7 linked regions of the Nothobranchius furzeri genome follow. The protein of the gene in region 5 purifies or fractionates together with the protein of the main gene of each other region. This does not show direct contact. Links are inferred from orthologs where the notes say so. Each region holds a gene or a part of one and is shown on either strand. Other genes may lie near its edges. The genes, in order: anapc7, anapc13, anapc1, nek2, cdc26, anapc2 and anapc4.

Evidence for each region.
Region 1: the proteins of cdc26 (region 5) and anapc7 purify together in Homo sapiens (affinity purification with mass spectrometry; 5 studies listed by BioGRID and IntAct, with this or other methods). This does not show direct contact. The link is inferred for Nothobranchius furzeri from reciprocal best matches to the Homo sapiens genes CDC26 and ANAPC7.
Region 2: the proteins of cdc26 (region 5) and anapc13 purify together in Homo sapiens (affinity purification with mass spectrometry; 4 studies listed by BioGRID and IntAct, counting the BioPlex papers as one, with this or other methods). This does not show direct contact. The link is inferred for Nothobranchius furzeri from reciprocal best matches to the Homo sapiens genes CDC26 and ANAPC13.
Region 3: the proteins of cdc26 (region 5) and anapc1 purify together in Homo sapiens (co-immunoprecipitation; 6 studies listed by BioGRID and IntAct, with this or other methods). This does not show direct contact. The link is inferred for Nothobranchius furzeri from reciprocal best matches to the Homo sapiens genes CDC26 and ANAPC1.
Region 4: the proteins of cdc26 (region 5) and nek2 purify together in Homo sapiens (affinity purification with mass spectrometry; 3 studies listed by BioGRID and IntAct, with this or other methods). This does not show direct contact. The link is inferred for Nothobranchius furzeri from reciprocal best matches to the Homo sapiens genes CDC26 and NEK2.
Region 6: the proteins of cdc26 (region 5) and anapc2 purify together in Homo sapiens (co-immunoprecipitation; 7 studies listed by BioGRID and IntAct, with this or other methods). This does not show direct contact. The link is inferred for Nothobranchius furzeri from reciprocal best matches to the Homo sapiens genes CDC26 and ANAPC2.
Region 7: the proteins of cdc26 (region 5) and anapc4 purify together in Homo sapiens (affinity purification with mass spectrometry; 11 studies listed by BioGRID and IntAct, with this or other methods). This does not show direct contact. The link is inferred for Nothobranchius furzeri from reciprocal best matches to the Homo sapiens genes CDC26 and ANAPC4.

What each region holds. Positions count from the first base shown.
Region 1 is NC_091757.1:28,332,236-28,335,476, forward strand, and holds the end of anapc7 (anaphase-promoting complex subunit 7), read right to left. Parts: coding exon 3,217-3,241; intron 3,079-3,216; coding exon 2,961-3,078; intron 2,888-2,960; coding exon 2,691-2,887; intron 2,617-2,690; coding exon 2,392-2,616; intron 2,325-2,391; coding exon 2,174-2,324; intron 892-2,173; coding exon 702-891; 3' UTR 501-701; downstream 1-500. UniProt on the Homo sapiens protein: Component of the anaphase promoting complex/cyclosome (APC/C), a cell cycle-regulated E3 ubiquitin ligase that controls progression through mitosis and the G1 phase of the cell cycle.
Region 2 is NC_091744.1:86,652,942-86,656,919, forward strand, and holds the start of anapc13 (anaphase-promoting complex subunit 13), read left to right. Parts: upstream 1-1,178; 5' UTR 1,179-1,379; coding exon 1,380-1,478; intron 1,479-3,978. Other genes in the region: pierce1 (piercer of microtubule wall 2 protein), read right to left, coding at 1-226. UniProt on the Homo sapiens protein: Component of the anaphase promoting complex/cyclosome (APC/C), a cell cycle-regulated E3 ubiquitin ligase that controls progression through mitosis and the G1 phase of the cell cycle.
Region 3 is NC_091752.1:26,758,982-26,762,928, reverse strand, and holds the start of anapc1 (anaphase-promoting complex subunit 1), read right to left. Parts: upstream 2,801-3,947; 5' UTR 2,669-2,800; intron 1,529-2,668; exon of another isoform or gene 1,390-1,528; intron 857-1,389; 5' UTR 833-856; coding exon 617-832; intron 520-616; coding exon 355-519; intron 226-354; coding exon 183-225; intron 73-182; coding exon 1-72. UniProt on the Homo sapiens protein: Component of the anaphase promoting complex/cyclosome (APC/C), a cell cycle-regulated E3 ubiquitin ligase that controls progression through mitosis and the G1 phase of the cell cycle.
Region 4 is NC_091742.1:7,800,782-7,804,751, reverse strand, and holds the start of nek2 (serine/threonine-protein kinase Nek2), read left to right. Parts: upstream 1-1,170; 5' UTR 1,171-1,279; intron 1,280-1,287; exon of another isoform or gene 1,288-1,429; 5' UTR 1,430-1,445; coding exon 1,446-1,541; intron 1,542-2,039; coding exon 2,040-2,257; intron 2,258-2,322; coding exon 2,323-2,563; intron 2,564-2,830; coding exon 2,831-2,913; intron 2,914-2,994; coding exon 2,995-3,121; intron 3,122-3,284; coding exon 3,285-3,516; intron 3,517-3,970. UniProt on the Homo sapiens protein: Protein kinase which is involved in the control of centrosome separation and bipolar spindle formation in mitotic cells and chromatin condensation in meiotic cells.
Region 5 is NC_091746.1:69,564,739-69,569,013, reverse strand, and holds cdc26 (anaphase-promoting complex subunit CDC26), read right to left. Parts: upstream 2,801-4,275; 5' UTR 2,666-2,800; intron 746-2,665; 5' UTR 724-745; coding exon 643-723; intron 488-642; coding exon 275-487; 3' UTR 257-274; downstream 1-256. UniProt on the Homo sapiens protein: Component of the anaphase promoting complex/cyclosome (APC/C), a cell cycle-regulated E3 ubiquitin ligase that controls progression through mitosis and the G1 phase of the cell cycle.
Region 6 is NC_091745.1:17,485,645-17,489,144, reverse strand, and holds part of anapc2 (anaphase-promoting complex subunit 2), read right to left. Parts: intron 2,708-3,500; coding exon 2,588-2,707; intron 2,286-2,587; coding exon 2,168-2,285; intron 1-2,167. UniProt on the Homo sapiens protein: Together with the RING-H2 protein ANAPC11, constitutes the catalytic component of the anaphase promoting complex/cyclosome (APC/C), a cell cycle-regulated E3 ubiquitin ligase that controls progression through mitosis and the G1 phase of the cell cycle.
Region 7 is NC_091748.1:39,288,460-39,292,591, reverse strand, and holds the start of anapc4 (anaphase-promoting complex subunit 4), read right to left. Parts: upstream 2,801-4,132; 5' UTR 2,622-2,800; intron 1,989-2,621; 5' UTR 1,981-1,988; coding exon 1,873-1,980; intron 1,791-1,872; coding exon 1,685-1,790; intron 1,616-1,684; coding exon 1,483-1,615; intron 1,400-1,482; coding exon 1,325-1,399; intron 1,247-1,324; coding exon 1,220-1,246; intron 1,135-1,219; coding exon 1,090-1,134; intron 990-1,089; coding exon 905-989; intron 686-904; coding exon 578-685; intron 504-577; coding exon 333-503; intron 1-332. UniProt on the Homo sapiens protein: Component of the anaphase promoting complex/cyclosome (APC/C), a cell cycle-regulated E3 ubiquitin ligase that controls progression through mitosis and the G1 phase of the cell cycle.

The sequences.
Region 1 (3,241 bases), on a different chromosome or scaffold from region 5:
CCTGGTGTCCTTCTGATGTCGTCTGAGGCTGGACACACGATACTGCAACAGTAAACTGTTATGGTTTAAGAACTGTTTCAGCACACAACCTAGCTCTAAACCAAACAAGTTTATTATACATTTATTACAACATGTAAAAAAAAAAACACTGGAAACTTTGCACTTGAGTTGATGTTTGAGTCAGGCTGGAGAAATCTTCCTGCAACACCTTCAGCCCCAGCCACACTGGCAGACAACAGCCACATTTCGCCAGTGCTGGTGGTTTGTTTACTCACCTTCAGCTCAACTAAAACACTTCCTGTACAGCACGGGCCTCCATCTAACACAGCACTGTGAAGGGTACTGGAGGTCAGATTCAAAGTGAAATGAGAAAGCTCCTCAGGATTTCTCACCAGAGAGAAGCATAATCACCATTAGTGGTACTGGGTGTCCCTTGGTTTTACGTAGCTGATGGGGTTTGTTATTTACAAGTAAATCCTCCTGATGGAGGCCGGTGGTGGCTGGCAGGTCCGGTTCTGGCATGAAGCTGACTCTTAGTAAAAAACCCCTCAGAAACATTAGCTTTTACGCTTGATAGCTCCCCCATCTTTAACCTCAGCAGCACCGCTCCCATGGAGCTCACCATCGTGATCACATGACTCCCAGGGGCCACAATGGCTGAAGGCATCCAGTGTGATGGAGCAGTCCTTACTGGCACCGGGTCACTGCATCCCAAACCACTGCTCCTGATCGGCCCACTGGGCTGCTTCACTGTCACTGCCCTCCAGATCTCCGTCCTCTCCGCTGCCCTCCATGTCGTCACCATCCAGCTCCACCGTGGCGTCTGTTGGACTCTCCTCCTTCTCCATCTTTTGCATGCCTTCTAAGGACTTCTGATCATTAGGGTCGAGGCTGAGGAGGGGCAAATGCAGAATGTAAATTTTTCTCATAACACATCATCATCATCACAATGTGAAGTCTACTGAAACCGTCGGAACGGTATTATCCATGCTGTTGTAGCCTCCAGGAATGGTCAGTTTTCCACCTACAGTCGGACCTCTTCAGTATCTGGCCGTTTGGAGACATAAGTCTTAACTGGTGCTTTCAATCTGCAAGAAAGACTGTTGCTTGGCCAAGGTCCCTCGCAAGCTCTCATCTAAGACTGGTTTTTATTCACAGAACAAGACGGATGAACAATATCAGTAACTAATCATATAATCATGTAATGAAATGGACAATGTGGTTAAATGAAATAACGTCACTGCAAACAGATATTTTCTTATCCACAAATTCAGCACTTTCATATCTGAGAGGTGTGTATCGGAGTTTGTTGGCAAAACCCCTTTACAGGGCAAGTTCTGATTCGTCAGTAAACCAAGATATGGCCGTTATTTAAACAGCATCACTTCCTGAGGGATTCAGTAGAGCCCAACTCTGACTGGCCATCGGAGGGAAACTCTGCTCCCATCGCATCTTTGACAAGCTGTCAAAACCCTGTTGCACGCTACAGCTGACCGCAAACGGTTCCTTCAGAACAAAGCTGAACCAACTTCCAACTCCTTAAGAGTTATTCCTAAGACGCAAACAACTACCCGTCGTGACCTGGAGACATCTCGAGACCGGTCTAGTCGGCACTGCAGTTTCTTCTACGGACTTCGGTACCTTTGGGGTCCCCGGACTTCAACACATTCCGGATCTACCACGGGGGTCTCCCAGAGGATACGTAGGCTCACAGATTGCGTCTGATGTGGTTTTACAAACCATCACTATAGTTATAGCAGACCAAATTCACTCCCACTCAGAACTCAGTTTCTCCAGATACGACGGCTCTGATAACGTCACATCATCACACCTCACTTTCCATCCACTTAGATTCATTCATCACATGAAGTGTTCCTAGTTGTCATGTTTTTAATTGTTTAGAAAATAAATGTCTTACTCTTTATAAACTTGACTGATTTAATACGAAGTGTCTGACAATCCCTGAATAAACAAAGAATTCTAAATCTTCTGGTTAAACATTCAAAGACCAATCAGACAGAATTTCCATATTTAAATAGAAATTCATATCTTGTTGGTCAAATGTAGTGTGGTATATTGAGCTTTAAAAGCACCCAAAACACATACATATGCTATCCCTACACTGTGAAGGTGAAGGGATCTCAGACAGGCTCTGAAAGATTGATCTGTTTACCTTAATGCTATACTGTACTGGTCCATGGCCTCCTGGTAATCGTTGACAGCTACCAGAAAATCTCCCAGCATCCTGTGCAGGACACAGTCGCTTTGATTGGCCAGGGCATTTCGTAGGAGAGCAATCCCCTCTTCGTGTTTCTGCTCTCGACCTGAACAGAGAAACCTGTGAGTTGTGCTCCCTCCCTGGTTAAAGTTACAGTTGTTAGTTGAACGTACTGAGCAGCTCAGCCTTTTTCACCACAGCCTTGGTGTAATCAGGTCTCTGAGCAAGTGCTTTGTCCAGAAGGGTTTTGGCTTTCTCCTGAGTCACAGGGTCCTCCAGGCACACGGTGGCGAGGATGGTCAGCGTCTGAGCATTGGCCCCCAGGGTCTTATAGATGTTGTTTGCCATTCCCATTGCTTCTCGAATCCCATTGGACGCCAGGTAACAATCAATCAGACCTGTGGTAATTCAGTTATTGTAAGCAGGCGAGAAACACCCAGCACCGAAAGACTTTTCCAAAACCCCAGCGTGCCTTCATAGCAGTCGAGTCGACAGGGAGCCAGACGCATGGCCTCTCTGAAATGGATGATGGCCTCTTGAACCCGACCCATGTTTCTCAGGGCTGCCCCTTTCAGGAGGAGGGCCTGCACGCTGTTGCTGTTCAGCTGGATGGCCTTGGCCCCCAGGTAGAGGGCTCTGGAGTAGCGCTTGCTATAAAAGCTGTGACAACTGAACAAAAACATTTAACCTGATAGAAGCATCTTCACAAAGGTCTAGTCGGGATGTCTGCTTAGAGACTCACCCAGAGATCACCCAGGGTTCAGCATGCTGGTCAGATATGTTAAATAATCTCCCTCCTAGGACTTCAACATCCTCCAGGTGTCCCTCTCGGGCCATCAGGTAGCCATAAACATCCATCCCTTCATGTGATTTAATTATATACATTAATATAAAAACAACTGCATTTCCTCCACAACAGCACTGAAAAAGATGGTCAAGTTAGGAAAACCACACGACTGCTAGGCGGTCATAGGCATGAACAGCTGTCTGTGACTTACCTTTGATGAGGTAAGGGTCCAACAT
Region 2 (3,978 bases), on a different chromosome or scaffold from region 5:
TAAATCTGTGAGACTTTGGGTGGTAGGAGTGAGGTGAGCTTTCAGGGGTCGGAGGGAAACTGCCATAGGCACTTGAAGTCGTCCTGTACAGGATCCTTCCAATGTTTGGGTTTGTTGCTGATTTCATGCTTCTAGTTGCCGAGGTGGTAATGGAAGAGACTGCTGGGTTTCCAGGGCTAGTGCATAGTTCTGTGATTTCTGTCTGCTGCTCTTGTGACAGGGACATCACTGGAGTGTCTGCAAAGTAAAAGAAAAGTTTACAACACTCAACCCCTACAGGACCAATCCTGCTGAAGTCAACTTCAGTAGTTACATATATATATATATATATATATATATATATATATATATATATATATATATATATATATATATATATATATATATATATATATATATATATATTTGTGTGTGTGTGTGTGTGTGTGTTTGCTTAGAAAAAGTACAAAATTATTATTAATATATAAAATTAATATTAAAATTATATTGTTAAATTATAAACAGCTTGCATTATTATTAGCTTTTTAAAATTTTGGCTATGTGAGTGCTTTTTGCAAACAGTATTATTTAGTGACATTTAAAATCTGAGGACAAATAAACCACATCTTTAATACCGCACACGCGCGCACACACACACACACACACACACACACACACACACACACACACACACACACACACACACACACACACACACACGCACGCACACACACACACACACGCACGCACCCACAGACAAATACGTTTAGCTAACATTTCCTGTTTTGAAGTAGTCGGCTAGGGATTTTTACAGGATTATTGGATACATACATAACTAGATGCGTCTGAGGCTTACTAGGGCCTCCGCTGTTTGCGTACATTGTTATACTAATTACCTTAAAATACACAAATACCGCAAAAATGTCCGCGCTGTTTTGATCAGGCCTCGCCAGTCGCCAGCTCTTCCGTGGGTCAAGAAAAACGATGCGTCTGGTTTCCATGGAAACCACTTAGACGAAGGAAACGGAATCGTTCATCTTTTTTAGTTTTGATTGCTTTTTACTTTTATAACAGAGTGGTTTATTGATAAACAACAACATTGAATAAATCAGACTGAATTAAATTGCTGGTCAAAATATAGAACTTTGTTGGCTTTGTAAAAAAATTCAGAAACTCTCCACTGCACCTGAAGGTATCGTTGTGTCGTCATCATCAAGCGTCGACGCCTACGTCTAAATTAAGCGTCTGTTTACTGTGAGCTAAGCGTAGCGTCTCCTCTAAGTGTATATTCTATCGAAATTATTTACCGCTGCTCTCTTCTTTTATTTCGATGAACTTCAGCTTTCCCTGCGAGGTTGAGTGGGTTTTTGTTGAGAGCTGTTTCAGCTGCTGAACCTGAAATGGACAGTGAAATTCAACGAGACGGGAGAGTCCTGGATCTGACTGATGATGCCTGGAGAGAAGACAAACTACCGTATGAGGATGTCACCATCCCCTTGGTAAAAACGTTAAACGTGTTTGCATTAAAATACAGTGTGGTTAAACAAATGGTAACGTATCCCTCAAATGACCATTCCGAAGTTCAAAATAAATCATTTGTGAATTATAAAAAAGAGCAAGTCACCCCCAAATCAATTTCTTTTTGCTGATAAAATACATAAATAAGTGTCTAATCAAGCTGTAGACACATGTAGTCAATAATTTGGCATTTTAGAGCATCTTAGTTAAAATTTAAATATTCTGCCCAGAACTGTCAGTGTTACACCCTCTTCAGGTAATTTTAAATCTGCTATCGCTATTGGCTAAGAGGTACCCTATGATGTCAGCTGGCACCATATGATGTCACAATAGGCATGTTTCCATTACCAGAACTCCAGGGTAGTTCCTGGGATGGGGAACTTGACCAGGAGATAGGATGTCCCAGTCCTCTCAGCTGTTGTGTCTCCATTCAGATTCAGCCCTTTCAGAACTTGCACAGACGTCAGCGGGTCACGACTGCTTTGGCAGTGAGTGATGTCACTGATCAGCCCAGAAAAGTGCCCAATGTGTCATTAATAATATCCATCCATCTTCTGAACCCGCTTTGTCCACGTAGGGTCGCGGGGGGGCTGGTGCCTATCTCCAGCGGTCAACGGGCAATTAGGCGGGGTACACCCTGGACAGAGAGCCAGTCCATCGCAGGGCAACACAGAGACACACAGGACAAAAAATCATGCACACACACACACATACACACCTAAGGACAACTTGGACAGACCAATCAACCTAACAGTCATGTTTTTGGACTGTGGGAGGAATCCGGAGAGAACCCACGCATGCACAGGGAGAACATGCAAACTCCATGCAGAAAGATCCCAGGCCGGGAAGCGAACCCAGGACCTTCTTGCTGCAAGGCAACAGCTCTAACCACTGCACAGCCCTCATTAATAATATTTAAAGCATTTATTTTATAGAAGTATATCATAATTTAATCCATTCAGAGGACAAGAGCAGCTCTGAGTTTTGTGAGACAAGCCCCTGGAGTTATCCCCCAGGCTTTCAAACAGGCAGTGGTCCAACCAGTTTTGAAGAAAGCTGGTTTGGACTCCACCTCCCTGGAAGCTTCCATTTTTATCTAAGCTTCTTGAGAAAGATGTTTTTACACAGCTCTCTGACCATTTGCAGACTTTTAACCTTTTAGACCCTTTGCAATCCGGGTTCCGTCCCGGTCATAGTACTGAGACTGCCCTTCTTAGTTTTTAATGATGTTCTGTGGTCCACTGATTCCGGCTCCCATGTTCTACTGGTGTTTCTGGATCTCACAGCTGCTTTTGACACCGTAGACCATGCTATACTTCTGTCCCGACTGAACCAGGTAGTGGGCATCCAGGGAACTGCCCTAAACTGGTTCAGATCGTACCTCAGCAACAGAAGTTTTTGTGTGAGGCTGGGGGATTTTGCCTCTGAAACCTCCTCTCTTCCCTCTGGTGTTTTTATGTTTCATTAAAACCTCAAGAGTCAGTGCAGCTGGCTGTGGATTGCCTGAATGAGGTGAATGGCTGGCTTTATAATAACCTTTTACATCTGAACGAGTCTAAGTTGGAAGCTCTCTTGTTTGTTCCTCCCTCTCCCACTTCAGTTAGTCCTGTCCTACCACCCTGTTTTCGCAGCTTAGTGAAGCCAACCATCACTAACCTGGGGATGGTTTTTGACCCGGAGCTGCAGATGGACTCCCACATTAGCCAGGTGGTTAGATCCTACTTTTTCCAGCTTCATCGGCTATCAAAGATGGAAGTCCATCCTGACTAGACACGACCTGCACACAGTGATCCATGCATTTGTGGTCTCTCGCTTGGATTATGCAAATTCCCCTTTTTATGGATCCACGTCTTCCTCGGTTGTGCGCCTACAGCTGGTGTGGAATATGGCGGCCTGCCCTTTGACGGACACCAGAAGGAGGGAGCACATTACTCCTGTTCTGACCCAGCTGCACTGGCTCCCAGTTTAAAATTTTACTTCTTGTTTTTAAGTCACTATCTTTATGTGCCTCTCTACTTGACTCAGCTGGTTCAGCCCAGTTCAACTCCGGTTGTAGCTAGATTGCTACCTTCGTTAGCTTAGCTCCCACCTCCGCGTTGGCTTTGGGTTAGCTTCAGGTTAGCTTGTAGCTACATTAGCTTCAGTTTGACCGGGTGTCGTCAGTTGATCCCAGCCTTACAGCCCCACCCTCAGCTCCGCCTCTCTTCCCTTTTGTGGAATTGTCTGGGCTTGACGGAACCTGTGACACGGTCAAAATGGCGGTGGTGGCCACCTCCCATTTTGGCACAAAAACTTTTAATTGGAGCCTATGGAAACTCATTGTCCATATATATATATATATATATATATATATATATATATATATATATATATATATATATATATATATATATATATATCGATGGTTCAGCCTTACGTACCTGGTCGAATTCTTCAATCAGCAGACCACCGCCTGTTACAGGTCCCGAGTGTTTGGGTGAA
Region 3 (3,947 bases), on a different chromosome or scaffold from region 5:
AATCTTTCCCAGTCACAGTGTGAACATTAATACAGCTGCTCTGGACAATACAAATCGTCTGCTCCACTTCTTCTGCAAAAAGACAACAATTAAAAGCATGTAGTCATTTCAATAAAGATAGAAAGGTAGAGCTGCAGCAATTCTTACTAGCCGACAACAAACGGTCTTAAATATTACTGTACCGTCATTGTTGTTTTGAAGAACAGCAAAGTTGCACCATAAAGCCTTCAGAAAAAAACAAGATTGTGTCAAGACCGGGAAAGAAACCATGAGATTTCATTGAGCTTTGAATTTAACAATTAAAATTTATATTTTCTAAACAGAAATTGATATTTGGCTTTCATATTTGCCAACCTGCTGCACTGGACTGTCAACAGTGAAAGCCTTGTACACACTAGAGGCTTGTGTCCGGCTGCCTTGACTCCAAACAACCACGTTTCCAGCCGCATAAAGCTCTTCTTCAAACATGACCTCCTCTTCTTTGACTCCCGTGCATCCCTTCCTTAGCTGCCACCATTCCTTCAATTAAACGCCATTCATTAGTGTGAACCAAAGAACTACTAAACAATAAACATGGCACATTTCAAATTAACGCTCAAAGATCATGCAATCTCACCCTCTCTCTCTCCTGCAGACTGACTTCCTGCAGAGACCCTACCAGGCCAGCAGCACCATCAGATGACCAGAGCTCAGAGGCTGGCTGGAGCTCTCGAAGCTGCAGGTTGAAGGCATTTGGATGGTTCCTGCAGTGCTCGCGGCCAAACGGGACAAACGACTGCAATTCCCCTGCGGCAATCATCGTGGCTGTCTCTTCATACACGACTTCCGACATGAGTTACAGATTTCAGCATTATTTCTGTGGCAAAATAAGAATAAAGATAAATAATTAGAAAGACACACACACAAATCTATCTCTCTAGACAGATAGACAGACTGAATCATGTGTGGAAGACATGAATACAATTTAGACAGAACAGTTAAAATAGCATTTTCTCCTATTCAGACCTGAAAACATGTTAAATTTTAAATAAGAACTCTGGCAACAGTTAATGTCTTTAAATACTGTATTATAATTTTATTTATTCTTAATTAAGATTCTATAAGTACAGTCAATTGCAGAATAGCACGAATTAAGTCATCACTTCTCTATTAAAGATTGTTACGATCGTTGTAGTCAACGATAGTTTCAGAAGCTACGCGTCTGTTCATAATAGGTTCGATAGGTTATTTTAGCAGCCTTAAGCAAAGCTCTCTTTTTATTATACAGCTGGAAGTAACCAAACATTAGCATGCTATAGCTAATCCCTCATATAGAACCACTGTTAATTGCTAGATAGCGTGTTAGCTAGCATTAGCATTAACAATACAGGGACATATTTATTCGCTTGCCTGATAATAAGGAATAGTCTGGCTCTTGTCGCGGAGTCCTCGTCTTTTATTTTTGTAAGGCTTGTTTGAGCACAACGGTGTGACCGCTGCGTACAGACAAAACGAGTCGATAAAGCTGGCAAAATAATGATTTGGCTACAACAGGTTTTCAAATGACCGCGGACATCTTTGCTGTCCAGCCAGCCTTTTCCTCCACGGCTCAGCCAATAAGCAACGACAAATTTACGTACTGGGAGCTGATTGGCTGTCGTGATCAGGACGGTCTGTGTTCGACTGTGCTCGACCAGAGACTTTTGTGTATTTTTTCTTTACTTTGTGAGTCTGTTTTGTAAAACATTAATAGTGAAGTCCCTTAACTTGTCTAAAAATACAAAACCAATTAATGTATAGTTCATACCACACAAACAAATCGATTTTTCATCGATAAGTCAAATTTGTTTTTAAGATTTTGGGGTAATTAAATTACAATGGTAAAAATAAAGACAAATGTGTTTAATAACTATGATTTCCAACCATCAATACGTAGGGATATTGTGTTTGACAAATAATACATATTGCTGGTTTGTACCCGGCTAAAATGGCCGTAACAAAAGAAAAAGATACCTGGTTAATAATGTATTGAATTAAAAAATAAAACCAGACAAACATATAAAAACAAAAATTAGCATTCTGGTGGGTGAAAATCAGATTAGAAATTATATGGTTTGAATGAGTTGACTTAATGTACATACAAAGGTTAGAAATCAGTCAAGCTGAAGAAGAAGAAGAAGAAGAAGAAGAAGAAGAAGAAGAAGAAAATATCTTTTCTATAGCGCCTCTCAAGATAAAAATCACGAAGCGCTTCACAAAAAAAAGTAAAATATAATGTAGCGGAATATAATTGGTATATTCTTACACTTTTATTAAGGTCCAGAGATATCACTGATTCAAACCTGAGCTGGATCATTAATCTTTGGACCGGGCCCTTAGAATCAGAAGAGGTTGTTTTTACCACAGGGGATTTTATTCAAACACCTTGTATTGAATTAGAGACAAGAAGAGAGAAAGAGCTGGGACGTTTAAGAATATTTATTTTATAATTATTCGAAACAGTCACCAGGACTAACTCTCTAATGATGGATGCAGATGGATGTAAGCTGAAGTGTTGGTGTGTGTGTGTGTCAGTTCAGAACCTCCATCTGGTGAAAGCGAGTCTGAGTGCGAGTTGTTGTTGCCCTAACTGATCGACGATGGACTTCAGGAGGAAGACATGAGACGCTATCTATGCCGATCTACGTACCGTGCGAAGACCTCCGTGTTAGATCCAGATGCCAGGTCCTCAACCCTCCTTGGTGCTGGAACTGGTGAAACAGCGTCGGCAGCACAACAAACCAGTCTATGGCAAGTCTCCCGGTACAACGGCAGATTTCAGCGTCACATAGTTTTCCAGCTTGACAGTTCTCAGCTTAAAAGTAGAAAATACAACTGGCCAGCCTGTACTTCACTTAGCGATGATGTACATCAGATGGATTTGAGAGCTGGTTGAACTCACGTTGGAACTACGTTGAAACTTGCGATGGAACTAAATTAAAATGGCGTTGTTCTCTTTTACTAAGCTCAGTTGTTTATGATTCTTAGCGAATCGGAGTGGACAGATTAACTAAACACCACAGAGCTCTGCCACACATCAGAAAGGAAGTTCTGATTGGATGAGTGAACAATGTGTCATGTGTTTACCTTATGTGGATCAGGATGTCTAGCTCAGTTAGTCCAAAGTCCTGTTATTCATTAAACACAAATCATAACATTGTGATTTCACAGATCAGTCACCTGATTATTATTGACCAACAGTTGTTTTGATTAGCTTTATTAGAAATAAAGTTCTTTGATTAACTAATGAAAAGCATTCTTCGTCCTTCTTCTGTCTTCTTTGCTGGAATGTAAACATCACAAGCAAGCGCACGACCTTGGCAACTTATGCACACTGTCACTGTGTCAAAGGGCAGCTGTTAAGGGCAGAAATGGCATATTCATAACGCTACAATAAAAAATAATTTAGAAAATAATTAGAAATATATTTTAAATGAGCAAAAAATAGACAATTGTGATAAAAAATGTAAAGAAAGAGAGAGAGTGAATAGGAAAGAGGGAGATCAGTGGATCCTGAGGAAGGTGGAATAGGTAGGGAAAGCAGAACAATGAGAGGGTGATGACGGTCATACCAAAACCAGCTTGAACAGGTGAGTTTTCCACTGGTTTTTAAAGGAGACCACTGAGTCCACTGATCTCAGGTTCAGGGAGAGAGAGTTCCAGAGTCTGAGGGCCACAGCAGCAAATGATCTGTCACCTTTGGTCTTTAGCCTGGTGTGCTGCACAACCAGTAGGCTTTGATCACTGGACCTCAGGGACCTGCTGGGGGTGTAGGCACTAAGAAGATCACCAATATAAGATGGTGCTTGTCCATGTAAGGCCCTATAGACCAGAACCAGGATCTTGAAATGAACCCTGAAGTTGACTGGCAGCCAGTGAAGCTGGAGGAGAAGCGGGGTGATGTGGGTGTGTTTGGAGGACTTGGTCAG
Region 4 (3,970 bases), on a different chromosome or scaffold from region 5:
GCCATTTTCAAAGTTAAACAGTTGTAATTTAACAGCAGTATTCTGGGGTATTTAGCCTATTATAGCCTCCAGAAATGGTCAGTTTTCATCTACAGTGTGCCCTCTTCAGTATCTGGTCATTTGGAGACATAAGTCTTAACTGGTGCTTTTAATCTGCAAGAAAGATACTGTTGCTTGCCCAAGGTCCCTCGCAAGCTCCCTCTTATCTAAGACTGCTTTGCTTCACAGAACAAGAAGGAGGAACTTTCATAATTAAATCATGTAATGAAATGAACAATATGAGTTTGTTTCTCTTCGTTTATTTCATTCAATCAATCAAATAAAAGTTACATAAAACAACTCATGTTCCCAAATAATCATAAATGAAAAGGAGCAGAAAGAAGCAAAAACTTATATCTGCCTCTTTTTCACATCAAGACATTACCCACCACCCCTCACACCCCCAACACAAAACAAGTCTATCAGCCTACTTAAGTTCTATTATTTCATCATGAGACATTTGACACTTTTTTAAAATACAGAAAATGATTTAGATTGTTTCATTTCACTGTCGAGACAATTTGTTACGTCCCCGACAGGTGTTGTAAAAATGTGAAGGATGGGGGTAACATAAGAACTGGTGGAGGAGTTTAAAATGGGTTTATTTGTAACAAAAAGGTTTTAAAAACACAAGCAAACAGATCTCTCTAAAAAGGCTAACATTACATAGCCAAATTATCAACTATAAAACACCTGCTTAAAACTTATATTAAAAGTTTAACCGAGCAGAAGGTGTTTTAAAATCACAAAGTTGATAAAAAGTCCCAAACAATTTACTGAAATATACAATGTTAAATTTATATGTTTTTATCACAACATCTATTCGTCAAAACACTTGTTTGATTTGTTCTATAAATATTGAAAAATATATATATGTATGTATATATATATATATATATATATATATATATATATATATATATATATATATATATATATATATATATATATATATATATATATATATATATATATATTAGATGTCATCATGGTCCTGTCATTCATACCATGGGTTTTAGCGCCATCGTGTGGACAGTTTAACAATAATACCGTCTACCCGCGCTACTATCGCGGTACTTAGGTACCTGACAACCTCGTGAGTTGTTTCTTCACATTGACCAATCCGAAGCCACAAGATGGAGCGAATGAGCCAATCACGAGCTGGTATTTCAGCACTAATTTTAAACAGAAGAAATACTTCCTGATTCTGAGAAACAAACAACACACAGAAGCGATTTAAGTGAGTAAATAATAAGTAAACGTACATTTCTATTTTTTTAATCATCTGGTCAGACAAACGATACTTTGCTAAAAATCTCAATAAGTTTTGAAGTTTCTGGTTTAAACGAGCTTTAAATCTTGTGTGAATCTGCCCTAACGTTGACGCTAGCGTTGACTAAAACAAGATGCCGACCCGTGTTGAGGACTACGAGGTGTTGTACACCATAGGCTCCGGTTCCTATGGAAGATGCCAGAAAGTGAGACGGAAAAATGACGGGAAAGTGAGTATGTCTCCAAACGAAGTCTAAAAAAAACAGCTGGTAAAATGTTTAAAGCAAGACGATTCGCCATAAAGTGCCTGTAGTTGTTCATTGCAGTGATTGGGACTCTTAACAGCTGAAAAAATGTGTGTGAAACATTAAAATAATTAAACATTTAGAATTTTAATAAGTTTGAAACACAGTCTGTATTGCTAATTACACCAATCTATCAAAATATACTCAGAATTAACACAATATAAGATTTTAAAAAAGTGCTGCAAAGTAGTTTATAGTTGCCAGATATATTCAACAGCCTAAGAGACCATTCACTTGCTCCTTTTGGAAATCTTTTGCAGCTTTTAATTAGTATTTCAGGATAGAAAGGATTTCATTTGACAAAAAGGCCCTTTTTACGTCTAGTGAATACATTTCATATCTGCCCCTTTTTTCTTAATTGGAGTAAAAACTGTATGTTTTCACGACAAAACTCTTTGTAAATGATGCCCATGTGTTCTGTAGATTCTGGTGTGGAAGGAGCTGGACTACGGCACCATGGCAGAGAGTGAGAAGCAGATGCTGGTGTCAGAGGTGAACCTGCTGCGGGAGCTCAAGCACCCAAACATAGTGAGATACTACGACCGCATCATAGATCGTACGAACACCACGCTTTACATCGTCATGGAGTACTGTGAAGGTGGAGACCTTTCCAGTCTCATCAGCCGGTGCATCAAAGAAAGGTAAGGGCTCACGAATGCGTCTGTCCTCTGTGAATCTGCAAAGTTACAAGTTAGTTCCTCTCCAGGCGTTACTTGGAGGAGAGGTTCATTCTGAGAGTTATGGCTCAGCTCACCTTGGCCCTGAAGGAGTGTCACAGGCGGCGTGACGGCAGGGCTACGGTCCTGCATCGGGACCTGAAACCAGCCAACATCTTCCTCGACATTAAACAGAACGTTAAGCTCGGTGACTTCGGTCTAGCAAGGATTCTGAACCATGACACCAGCTTTGCAAAGACTTTTGTGGGAACGCCGTACTACATGTCTCCTGTAAGTTACTTGATGATGTCACATCTGTTGAGCTTTTGATTATAAAAGTTTCTGGGATATTTGCAATTTTTGTTTTATTGTCTTCATTTGAACATATTACTAGAATTTTATTTATATTGTTTAGTTATGAATCATTTTCACCTGTATATGAGACGGTTGCTTTTCCAGATCTACAGTTTAAAAATAGATTTTACACATTAAAATAAACATTTAAAAATCTCTCTTTTTATAGAAATGACTCAATTTCAGTCATTATTGTTCTTGCAGGAACAAATTAACAGGATGTCGTACAACGAGAAGTCTGATATTTGGTCCCTGGGGTGCCTGCTGTATGAACTTTGTGCATTATTGTAAGCTCTTCCACACATTTTCCTTCCCTGTAGCAGTTTTCCAACACCCCTAAGAATATTCCCTGGGTTTTTCTCATTTAGGCCTCCGTTCACAGCGTACAACCAGCAAGACTTGGCAGAGAAGATCCGAGAGGGAAAGTTCAGACGAATCCCATACCGGTACTCTGAGGAGCTGAATGCCTTACTCAGCAAGATGCTCAACTTAAAGGTTTGGAATGAATTATTTAACAATGTTGTAATAGTGTGTAAGATGGCTGTGCACTTTTGTAGGCACTGTGCATGTTTTCCTGCTGTGATGATGCACAAATTTGAATTTTCCTCTGGGATCAATGAAGTATTTTTGAATTGAAATCATTCCTCACTGTTGGCAGGACTATCTGAGGCCGTCTGTGGAGTCGATCCTCCAGAGCAGTCTGCTGAGAGACGTGGTCTCCGAGGAGCAGAGGAAGGCACAGATACGGACCCAAAGGAAGTCTCCAGACCCTGACCGCGCCCCCCATAAGCCAGCTGAAGTGTCTATCCCAGCTGCAGAGCTCCGACTGAGGGAACAGGCAGTGCGGGACAGGGAACTCGCCCTGAGGGAGCATGAGGAGAGACTTGAGAGTAAGACTTGTGCTACACAAACATCATGTGTAACAGAACGGTAATATTTAACCCTGTTTCTAAGAAGTTGGGTCACTTTGTAAAAATGCAAATGATTAGCAACATATGTAGCCTTCTTTTGATTGTTGTGGAATTCATTATCTAGAAGAAGTTTGTTCCTCCACCTGCAAATAAAACGTTAAAGTTCCTAATGCTGATTTTAGAAAGAACTAAAAAGGGAGAATCTGTTTGGGGAATAAAGCAAAGTTTCCCCATTTTTGAAAAACAAACAAGCATTTGTTTCAGTAGGTGGCACTGATTTGAACCCTGTAGGTGATGTTCACAGCAATAAATAAATGAAATAAGCGTATCTGTAACTAAAGGTGCTGGTTAAAGACTGATGCGTTGTAGTCAAACCAATTTGTGTGGATGGAACTGGTTTATTATCTTTAACAAAAAACAAATATTACAGTCA
Region 5 (4,275 bases):
TCCATTTATATAATTTATCATAAGAGGTATTCGGGCTGCTCTTTTTCTGATCCCTCACCCGATGATCTTGTCTGATCCTCTCCACTGTTGCATGCAGCGACAGTGGAGAGGAAAACTCCCTTTTAACAGGAACAAAACTCCAGAGGATCATGGCTCCATATAAGCAGCCATCTGCCATGACTCACTGGTGTAACGTACCAGTGGTCCACACACACACAAACACACACATACAAACAAACACACACATACATACAAACATGTTTTCTGAGTTTTATTAAAACTGCAAACTTCCAAATAAGGTTGGCAGCGTGGCGGGTTTAGGGTGGGGCTTGTAGCCGATTCTCTCGTTGATCAGCTCTGCCCTGGACGCAGCAGTGGAAGAGGATGCTGAGCCAGAAGCTGCACCCCCAATCAGATCCACACCAATGACAGAAGCTCCACCCACTCCTCCTCCTGCCTCAGCTTCTTCTCGCTGACGCTTTCTGGACTAAACAAAGAAAAACAAACATGTTAAGATCAACAACCTGTTTTCATCTGATGTCAGAAAAACCAAAGACAGCAAAAAAAGCACATCAATAGTCACCCTCTGATTAGATCTGGTGACGACAGCTACAGGTCAGAACAAAGAAGAGTGACTGAAACCTCAAGCTCTTTCTTGATGCTCTCAAACTCCTCTGTGTCATCGATCTTCAGCTCCAGACGAGTTGGTTTCCTCCTCAGCATCTTCCTCGTTTTTGTTATGCACCTGCACAACAAATACTAACATTTAGAAAAACAATCGACTAGAAATATTTTTTACGTGTGATGTCCGTGCAAATGTCCCCTGCTGAAACCTGCTGAAACCTGATGTTTAGTGGACCGTAAACAAACATGAAGTCGCTCTGTAGCAGGCTATGAGGCCAGGTCGTAGATGTGAGCTGGTGGTTAGGAGGTCTCATTTGTTTAGATATTTTATATGATTTCTTGCCTTTGACTCCAAACTAACAACACTGAAGGAGCTTGAATTTCCTCATAGTAGGAATATTTTTAAATCTTTAACAGGAAAAAAAAAGCCAGTGACAGGAGCGACCCAGAAGTTAAGAAGCCACGGCATTGTTTTGTTTGACTTTAATATTGGCTGAAGTGGCTAGAAGCTAACGTTTAGCCAATATGGCTAACAGTGAATTAGAAACAAATAGTTAGCGCTAAAAATAGAAGACCAACAACTGGATATTACAGTCAAACAGATGTGTGAAGTGAATAATCATCGTAAAAATACTTTCTAAAAACTCAAGTTCACTGTAAAGTAAAAGCAAACGAAACAGTCGAACAAGCATTAAATGAGTGGTGCATTCAAAAGCACGATAAAACGTCAAACATAGTTACAGGGAAGAGAAAAGCTTCAACAGGTGGAGGGTTCAGCTGGTAATGACTTCCACGGAGAGGGGTTAGGGGGCAGACGTCCCACGGTGACAGGACGGGCAGGGGGACTGTGCCGGTTGATGGCAACTGGGGAGTGTGTAGAAACCTTTATGAGATGGGAGAGGTACGAGGGGCAAGGTTGTGAGTGGCCTTATATGTGATGAGCAAGATTTTGTAGTCAGCCCTGAATTTTATCAGCAGCTCAGAACTACATGATGGACAGCAGCAGCTCAGGAGTAGAGCGGGTTGTCCACTAACCCGAAGGTGGCAATTTCGATCCCAGCTTCAGACAGAGAATGCTGCCGTGGTGTCCTTGGGCAAGACCTTTACCTGCTGGTGGTGGTCGGAGGGACCGGTGGCACCAGTGCTTGACAGCCTTGGCCGTCAGTGTGCCCCAGGGCAGCTGTAGCTACATCGTAGCTCATCTCCACCAGCGTGTGAATGGATGAATGATGCACTGTAGTGTAAGGCGCTTTGGAGTCCTCAGGCTCTGAAAGGTGCTACACAAGCGTGGGTCGTTTATCATTCATTTACATGTTTCACTGATCACGCTTCTCACTGCTCAGGTCACTAACAAGCCCTCCAGATGCTTTATCATCTCACTGCAAAGAAAGCATCCAGTAATTCGTCCTAATGTTGGTTCTGCCACTGCTGACAAACCTCCACCTTCACCAGCAGGTGGCACCACCGTGCATTGTGTAGGACCTACTGATAATTCAAGTTAGAAAAATTCACCCAACATCAGAAAACCAGTTTTTCTTAACCTAAAAGGTTTACCAAGCCGGGCACAAGAGTATCGATCAGCTGTGACGATTTGGCGCCACTAGGTTTAGGGTCCTACTGTGGAGGAGATTAAAAATTCACCTAATTAAAGACACATTTATCAAAAAATGTTAGGAGAGCAGGGCAAGTTGATTTATGTGGCAGACCTACAAGAGTTAGCCTGTAGGGGGGGAAAACCGCGTCTAACCCCGCAAGGAAGCCCCGCATGGATGGGGAAAACACGCAACTCTATGAGTTTCGAACCTGCAACCTTCCGGTTAAGGGGGGGCTCTGGGCTCCTGTGCCACCGTCACCCCATCAACGTAAAAGCGTCGCAAGCAGAGGTTTTAAATAACGCAGGTGTTGCGGGTTGACTCCACACAGCGTTATGTTCCAGAACATCCGAAGTTGTTGAGGCGGAAAAGTCGAATCTGTGAACATCATGTCAACTTTACTTCCGTCCACCCGAACCCGTTTGTGTGACGAACCCAGGTGACTTTACCTGACGCACCGAGACTCTCCTTCGTCCTGATCGTCAGCTGTTTGGTTATCTGGCTAACAGGTAGATTGGTTAATTACCCATAAGTCCACGGATCCACCAACCGGAAAAAGAAGCTTTGACCCGGAAGCCAACAGTTTCATATCCGGGTTGCAGTGCTAGGAGACGTTGCGGCTTCGTCTGTTTTTACGGTAAGTTTGAACAACAAAACAAACGAAGCTTTAAAACAGAGAAACACGCTTATGGTCCAAACAGCAGGTGCGCGTGCTCGGCTAGACACGCGTGTCCGTGAGCCGTTAGCTCCGAGTCACGTGCGAACATCAGAACGCTTCTATGGTTTCGTCGTGCGGTCCGTGTGTGTTCTGCACAGCTACGGTTACAGCACCAGTTCACTACTGGTGTGGGTTGCAGCACCAGTTCACTACTGGTGTGGGTTGCAGCACCAGTTCACTACTAACTCACTCATAACATCTATGATAGCTTCCAGGCAGTCAGGTTTTCGTAGAGCTCGTTCTACTGAAACCAGGGCCGTGCAGAGACCTTTGACGGGGCGGGGCTCAAAGTAAAAAAAAAAAAAAAAAAAGGGGGCACTTTTAGATCAATCCAACAAGTTAAAAAAATCTGATAATGAGACCCTTGGGTTCAAACAACATAATAAAAATTTATCAATTAGTGTTAATGTTAGTTAATAAATAATGAACTAACCCTAACCCACCATTGCGTGGGCGATGGTGGCACAGGAGTTAAGATCTCGCCCCGTAATCGGAAGGTTGCAGGTTCGAGCCCCGCTCAGTCTGTCGCTGTCGTTGTGTCCTTGGGCAAGACACTTAACCCACGTTGCCTGCTGGTGGTGGTCGGAGGGACCGGTGGCGCCTGTGCTCAGCAGCCTCGCCTCCGTCAGTGCGCCCCAGGGCAGCTGTGGCTACATCGTAGCTCATCCCCACCAGTGTGTGAATGTGTGTGTGAATGGGTGAATGACTGATTGTGTTGTAAAGCGCCTTGGGGGGTTGCAGGACTCAGAAGGCGCTATATCAAATACAGGCCATTTACCATTAATAGTTTGTCACTGGAGAAACAAGTTATTCAGTTCTTTGGAAGTAAGGGCATTTCTATTGACAGCACCACTATAGCTGCATGCTACACAATTCCTAAAAAAACTGGAAAAAAAAAACAAAACAATAATTCAGTTTGTGAGCAGGAAACATAAAGTTGACTTGTTAAAGGTCGTAAAGAAGCTTAAGGGCACAGGAGTGTATGTAAATGAGCACCTGACAAAGAAGAATGCAGAGATTGCCTGGCAAGCAAGAATTCTGAAGAAGGAGAGGAAAATACAGGATACCTGGATAAGGAACTGTAAAGTAATGATCAAGCTTACTGGACCACCAGAACAGGCTATGGTGGTGAGCATCAAGAGCCTCTCTGAACTGGAAAAACTCAAATGATGAGAAGAAGATGGTATTTAATTCATGGACACAGCAGACTACAAGAAATCAGGAAATAATAGATTTTTTTTTAGGTTTGTCAGTGATGTAGATCATAAAATCTAAAAAAAATATCAAATCTGATAGATAATGGAGTTGACTCAGAAATTAATGGTTGCAGCAACACCCACC
Region 6 (3,500 bases), on a different chromosome or scaffold from region 5:
AGGGCTGAAGCAGAAACTACCGTTGTTAAAAGAAATGTGTTTAACTTTGAAAACGTGGGCACAATATTAATTGTCAAAAACTCCAACGAACCATTAGTTCATTTTGCTCAAATAGAAATAGAGGCCTGCCTCTAATACTGGCCCTCCTTCCAACAAAGGCCTGGAGCTTGATGAGCTTGAGTCAAATACAGGCCCGGGCCTGTATTAGAGGATTTACGGTATATATGTAGGTATATATGTGTATATATGTATGTATATATGTAAGTATATATGTAGGTATATATGTGTATATATGTAGGTATATATGTGTATATATGTAGGTATATATGTGTGTATATGTAGGTATATATGTGTATATATGTATGAATATATGTGTATATATATGTATGTGTATATATGTGTATATATATGTATGTGTATATATGTACTGTAAGTATATATGTGTATATATGTAGGTATGTAAGTCTATATGTGTATATATGTAGGTGTATATGTGTATATATGTAGGTGTATATGTGTATATATGTAAGTATATATGTGTATATATGTAAGTATATATGTGTATATATGTAAGGTGTATATGTGTATATATGTAAGTATATATGTGTATACATGTAGGTATATATGTGTATATATGTAAGTCTATATGTGTATACATGTAAGTATATATGTGTATATATGTAAGTATATATGTGTATATATGTAAGTATATATGTGTATATATGTAAGCATATATGTGTATATATGTAGGTATATATGTGTATATATGTAAGTATATATGTAGGTATATATGTGTATATATGTAGGTGTATATAAGTAAGTCTATATGTGTATATATGTAGGGTTATATGTGTATATATGTAGGTGTATATGTGTATATATGTAAGTATATATGTGTATATATGTAAGTATATATGTGTATATATGTAAGTATATATGTGTATATATGTAGGTGTATATGTGTATATATGTAAGTATATATGTGTATACATGTAGGTATATATGTGTATATATGTAAGTCTATATGTGTATACATGTAAGTATATATGTGTATATATGTAAGTATATATGTAGGTATATATGTGTATATATGTAGGTATATATGTAGGTATATATGTGTATATATGTAGGTATATATGTGTATATATGTAGGTATATATGTGTGTATATGTAGGTATATATGTGTATATGTAGGTATATATGTGTATATATGTATGTATATATGTGTATATATATGTATGTGTATATATGTGTATATATATGTATGTGTATATATGTACTGTAAGTATATATGTGTATATATGTAGGTGTATATATGTAAGTATATATGTGTATATATGTAGGTATATATGTAAGTCTATATGTGTATATATGTAGGTGAATATGTGTATATATGTAGGTGTATATGTGTATATATGTAAGTATATATGTGTATATATGTAGGTGTATATGTGTATATATGTAGGTATATATGTGTATATATGTAAGTCTATATGTGTATACATGTAAGTATATATGTGTATATATGTAAGTATATATGTGTATATATGTAAGTATATATGTAGGTATATATGTGTATATATGCAAGTATATATGTAGGTATATATGTGTATATATGTAAGTATATATGTAGGTATATATGTGTATATATGTAAGTATATATGTGTATATATGTAAGTATATATGTAGGTATATATGCGTATAACTTTGTGCTTCTTTCTGTGCAACTTGTTTTTTCTCTTTTTTTTCGGTTCATGGGTTGAGGTTGTGTCGGCCAACCAGTCCAGAAACTATATTGTTCATATTTTTTTAAGAATCATATGATTGTTTCATTTGTATTATTGCTATTTTAGTTAAAAGGGGCAGATAACATACGTTTTTCTTCTTTCTGTCCCCTTTTTCATTTTGGCTTTTAGCAATTTAGTTTTGTATTTTTATTTTAATGTCAATAAATGAAAATATAGTTGAAAAAAAAACCTCCAAAGTGTAAATTAAAATGTGAATCAGAAGAACACAGTGGGTGTAGTGAAAAAAAAAAGACTTTTATTAAAGAACGAACAATTTATAACAAGATCTGTGTTGTTCTATCAGAAGTATTTCATCAGAAGGTTGAACTGTTCCAAGTGGTGATGGTAGACTAAAGCAGCGCTGGAAGAACCGGACCTACCTGAGGTATTTACGGATGGGCTGGCAGGCCACCTGCAGGATCACCATGGACGGGTCCAGCTCTCGGAGAGCTTTGATGGCTGAGATGTAAACGGTGAGAATGTCGGCCGTGTGAACGCCTGGAAGAACAAACAGATTCCACATAAAACACGTGGGCTTGATAAAAAGGAAACGTTTCTCTGACGGGAACAAAGAAATGCTTTTAGCTCTCCACTTGTTTGTTAATAAACAGCCAGTTTTAGAAATCTAAACCGGTCAGTTTTTTACCTTCTATTCAGAAAAGCTTCTTTTTCAGCATTTTAATGCCTTTTATTTTTTACCACTTTGGTTTTGGTGCATTTTTAGTCTTTTATTTTAACCCAACGTGAACTTTGCAGTTTGATCTCAGAGTTCAGTCGATGTCCTTCACACTGACACAGACCTGGGTGCAGCAGGCGGCTTTCAAAGGCTGATTTCAACGACACGAGGAGCTGCTGCCTCTGGTTGGTTCGCTCCAAGCAGAACTTCAGATCCTCGATGGCAGCTTTAGATTCCGGAAAATCTGGGAAACAGAAACCAAGGAGAGAACATGATTTACCACAGGGGAATAAATCTGACCCATTTCCAGCCTGAGGTCAGCTTTGATGACAGAACTTTACTGAATCTTTGGGTTGTTTCTATTAAACAGAAAAGGACAGAGAAATGAAAATTTTCAGACACAAACAATAAATAAAAACAAACTCCTGGTTTAGTTTAAAACCCGAGACACAGACAGAGAACGATCATCGTCTCAGAACCAGTTTTAGGTCTCAGACAGAATCTAGGTTACATTTCTGAGATCTCATCCGTCCCGTCTCTCTGTGCTGAACCAGAAACCTCACACGGGTTTTGTTTTTCAGACGTGAACAAGCCAGAAACTGAAAATGTCAGATTCTTCTTCATCATAAAAGTAGATTGTAGGAAGCAGATTTAAGGACAAATAATAAATTAGATCATGAAGTCTTAAATTAATATTTTGAATTTATTCTGATCACAACTGAAAGGAAATATCCTGGTAATAAAGATTTTTATTCCAATTTTTGTTTCTTAAAGGGACTTGACGGAGTTTTTAATTTTTATGCTCGCGATTGCCCCCTCAGGCCAAAAGCATAACGGCAGCTTCAATAGTAGACTCGTGCACGAGGCGCGCATGCTGTACGTGCACACTCCTTAACGAAAATAACAGCTGAGACAGTCCCTTTTGTGTGTGTGTGTGTGTGTGTGTGTGTGTGTGTGTGTGTGTGTGTGTGTGTGTGTGTGTGTGTGTGTGTGAGGACAGAAGAACGTGCAGCTAATTAATTAAATAATGTGGTTCT
Region 7 (4,132 bases), on a different chromosome or scaffold from region 5:
CGTTCATCTTGTCTTCCTGTAACGACAACCCCCCTAGCCGCTCAACCCCCACCACTGCTGTGACACCCACTCTCCGCGCGCCCTCATGGACACCGGAGGAACACGTTGCTCCCAAATACACCCCCATGGCTTCGTTCAAGGGATCTAGTCTTTTGAACTGCTCTTTAAGGTAGACGAACAACTAACGAGCAGCCGCCTTGAAAGAGCTATAAATCCCATCACTAATAAGCACACATGCTAAATTCTGCTAATTGTCCAACAAACTCACACAGCAGGCAGGAAGTGTGGTGGTCTGCCAGGAAAAACTCTGACAGGAAACAAAAACAACTGACCTGAACAAACTTAGTGAGACGATGATCCATCTGCAGGAGGATGTCCTCCCACGCTTCGCACATGCATGTGAGTGACAGGTGCAGGTACTGCATCAGGGTGGAGATGTGAGTGAACTTACGCGCCATCCTGGTGAGTTCAGGCAAACAGTCCGACAACAATCCTGTGTCCAGCTGAAACACAAGGAGGGAAGTTAGAGTTAAAGGAAAGAAAAACAAAGTGTGGAGGAGGAACGTGTCCATCTCACCTGGACGTAACAGATGTCTGCGCTGCTGTCAGCAGACTTGACTTCTGTGATGACAGACAGAGACTTGAGGTCACTCGACAGACTCAGACTGCGACATGTTCCTGAAACCTGTAGAAAGTTCATCAATTAAAGTCACAGTCAAATCCGTTAATGCCGTCTACTAAAGATTTTTGGCATAATTAGCTACTTTTTTCCTGCATTTAAATTAGAATTTTTATGATTTCAAATATCTATGCTAACTTTAGAGTCACTTAAAAACATTTTTGGTAAATTTTTTTTACAGACGACAAATGGAACAACTCATCTGAACAAACAGAGCTGCCTTACCCCATCCAGCGTTGCAATCTTGTACATCCCGTACGCATACAGCTCCACATTTCCACCATCTCCTCCAAGAACAAGTACATTTAGTCTGCATGGAGACAGCTTTCATTGGTTCCCATAAATAAAAATTCCAATATCTTAAGGATGTCCATTTGCTCCTGGCAGTAAGTGACTCTAACCATATTTACCTCACTTCTCCAAGGAGGTTGAGTATCTCATCAGACTTCTCCTCACTGTGAAACAGAAATGAATGCAGTCAGTTTCTGTTTGTGCTATACATGCCACATACATCTATGATAAAAAAAAAAGATGTCCCACCTGAAGATCTTTGAAGTTGTGCTGTAGCTGAAAACAAAAGTTTGGACAAATATCAGGCCAGTCAATCCAAAATGTCTTTTCTTGTGACAACATTTTTAATTTTACCTCTTGGGAAGAGTTGGTAATTTAGGAAGAAAAAGTTTAGATTCATCCTCTGAAGTGTAAAAGGAGCTGAGGACACTGAATCACACACAAAAAATCCTTCATATCAGCTTTGACAAGATTTCACAGAACGTGGTATGTTTGTTGAGCTTCCTGATTACCTGCTCTCCTCCATCACCTCCATCCAGTTCATACAGGTTACAGGACTCTGCACTGGAAACATGTGGAGGATCTCTGCTTTCTCAACCCCACAAAGGACAACCTGCTTGGTGTCTCCAAGACTGAAGGCCAATACTGGGGTTACAAAAAACAAATTCTCACAATTCCATTAAGACAAAAATGTGATAAAAAAAAATCCCTTACTTTTGCCATCAGGCCTCCAAGCAAGTGCGGTTATCTTCTTTCCAGTATATTCACTGGGTGGTAGGCTCCAAACCCGGTGGAAACTAGCCAAGCGATGCAGTAGCACCTGTTGAAAATCACAATAATAAACCATCCAAACAACAGGAAACAGTCACCTTGATTCAGAACAGTTAGGGATTTAAAGTCACCTCCCCAGTTGTGTTGGCCAGAGCTATCAGATCCCTCTTTGGAGACCATGCCATACAGAGGACCGGGTTTGGAAGCTGCTTCTCTCCCACTTGCCGAAAGGCAGGCATGTTGTTAGCTGAAAAAGAAAGAAAGTTTACATTCATTATTGTGTGATAAATGGCCAGCAGGGGCCTAATTACAAGGTTTAGAAGATGTACCAAGATGGGCTATTAAAAGTGAGAACAGATTCAATGAGTGATCTGTAAAACATCTAATAAACCTGTACATGCATAACAGAATAATCATCAAAAATCACATACCTTTTCAATATTTCGTTTACTATTGAATATACAACTGATTATTAAATATTAAAAATCTTTTTCTGTAAAGATAATAAATAATTGTAACAATAAAGAAAAATAGAAATGTTAGCATTTGAATACAGAGGCCCAAATGCAGAGTCAAGAATCAGTAATGAAAGAACCGAGTTATGAGCATGACGTCAGCAATAAGACACACTAAACAATACAACTCAATGCGGAGAGCAACGAGACCTTAAATTACACTGCGATGGAGACGAGCTTTGAAACATTTATGTGTTTTCTGCGTGATAACAGTAGAGTTTTCAGGGTCACAACTAAAAGAGAAAACATTGAAGTACTTAACGAGATTCAAAAACAAAAAGGGAGCTAAAGGCACAACACTTTTCCATTTCCAACTCATTTTATGAAGCATAAATTAGCCGCTCGTTAGCTGGAGCCTCACTCACCGGTTTTGCTAACAGCTGTTAGCTAGCAGGTAAAACTGATGATTCACAGCGATTATTTTAACCCGACCAGACGATAACACCAAATAAACCCAAATCGTAAATATACGAATTTAATATCTCATCGTAATATTTTCGCAGTCACTCAAACACCGCCATATTTCTACTTCCACCAATCCCTGTAGAGCAACGGCAGCCGAGAAGAGACAAACGTATTCAGAAGGGGGGGGGGGGGGGGGGAATAAAAAAAAACTCGATTCCTAAATATGTCTAGAGATTTGCACCCCATGATGGCGCCTTTGGTAAGGATTTAAAACAAATTAAAGTTAACGTTTTGGTCCTATTTTTATTTTTTAATAAATGTTATATTCTATGCAGATTAAAAAGTAGATTTAAACTTTGAGGGTTTAGGACAAAATATAAAATAAGTTTTTTCATAATGTGTTTTTGTACTTCTCTGTCAATTGAATGCATTGCTTAGAATTTGTTTGGATTTAAAAGTTAAAAGTGATCATAAAATTCAAGGTTGACTAAATTATATTAATTCCATTAGAAATATAGGAAAGTTTGCAAGGGTGGTTTCATTCTGGTGATATAAAACTATGCTAAAATATTTCAGTACTCATAAATAGATGCTGTACACATGTTATATGGAGACGTCGCCATTGGATAAAGTAGTTATTTATAAATAACACTTCATACAGAGGGTTGGGTGATGACAATTGTCAAGTAGAAATCCAAATTACTCACCAAGTGTTTGCACACGTGTGTATTGTGAGTGTATATGGAAACTCCTACTGGACTTATCAGCAGCACTTAACTGTAATCAGCAGAATGAAGAAGAGCCAGAATAGCTCAGAGAGCACAAAATGTGATGGTGGACTAGAAATAGACCAAGTGAGGCTGCATGGTGGTCATGGTTTATTCTTTCCAAGGCCCAGGATATCTGTCTCGCTTGGTGAGAAATCAGGAAATGCATGAAGTTTAACAAAAATGCTGAGCATCATTCCATATGTGTGTGCAGAATGGAATCGGACCGAATAGTGACCGGGTTCTTCAAGATCCTCATAATAATTTTGAGTTGTTTTAAAGCCATGGAGGAACCAGCTCAGTCTGAGAGGTCAATGGGTGATTATTGTGTGTTTTCAGATGTGGCCAGTTCAGATTATCATAAAAGATTACAAACATTCTGTTGTACTTGCATACAACAGCACAATTGGTGTGAAACTTAGCCATCCCAACATCCTGTGCTTTCTGTGTATAATTAACCAACACCTTGAGCTCCTTCTGTTCACCTAGACCCCCTCAGTCTTCATTGCTCCTGCCAGCAGTCTGGCTGTGTAACATGAGCTAGGGGCCAAATTTAGCCCCACTCAGAGAGCAGTTAGGGACCAGCACAGATGGGACAGCAGCCCACTGCAGAGGCAGAACGCAATTGGACCCTAAACCTGAAAGATCCTACCTGTCATCTGACCAATAAGGCTGCTCTTCTGGGGAGAGAGGCAAAGCCTCTT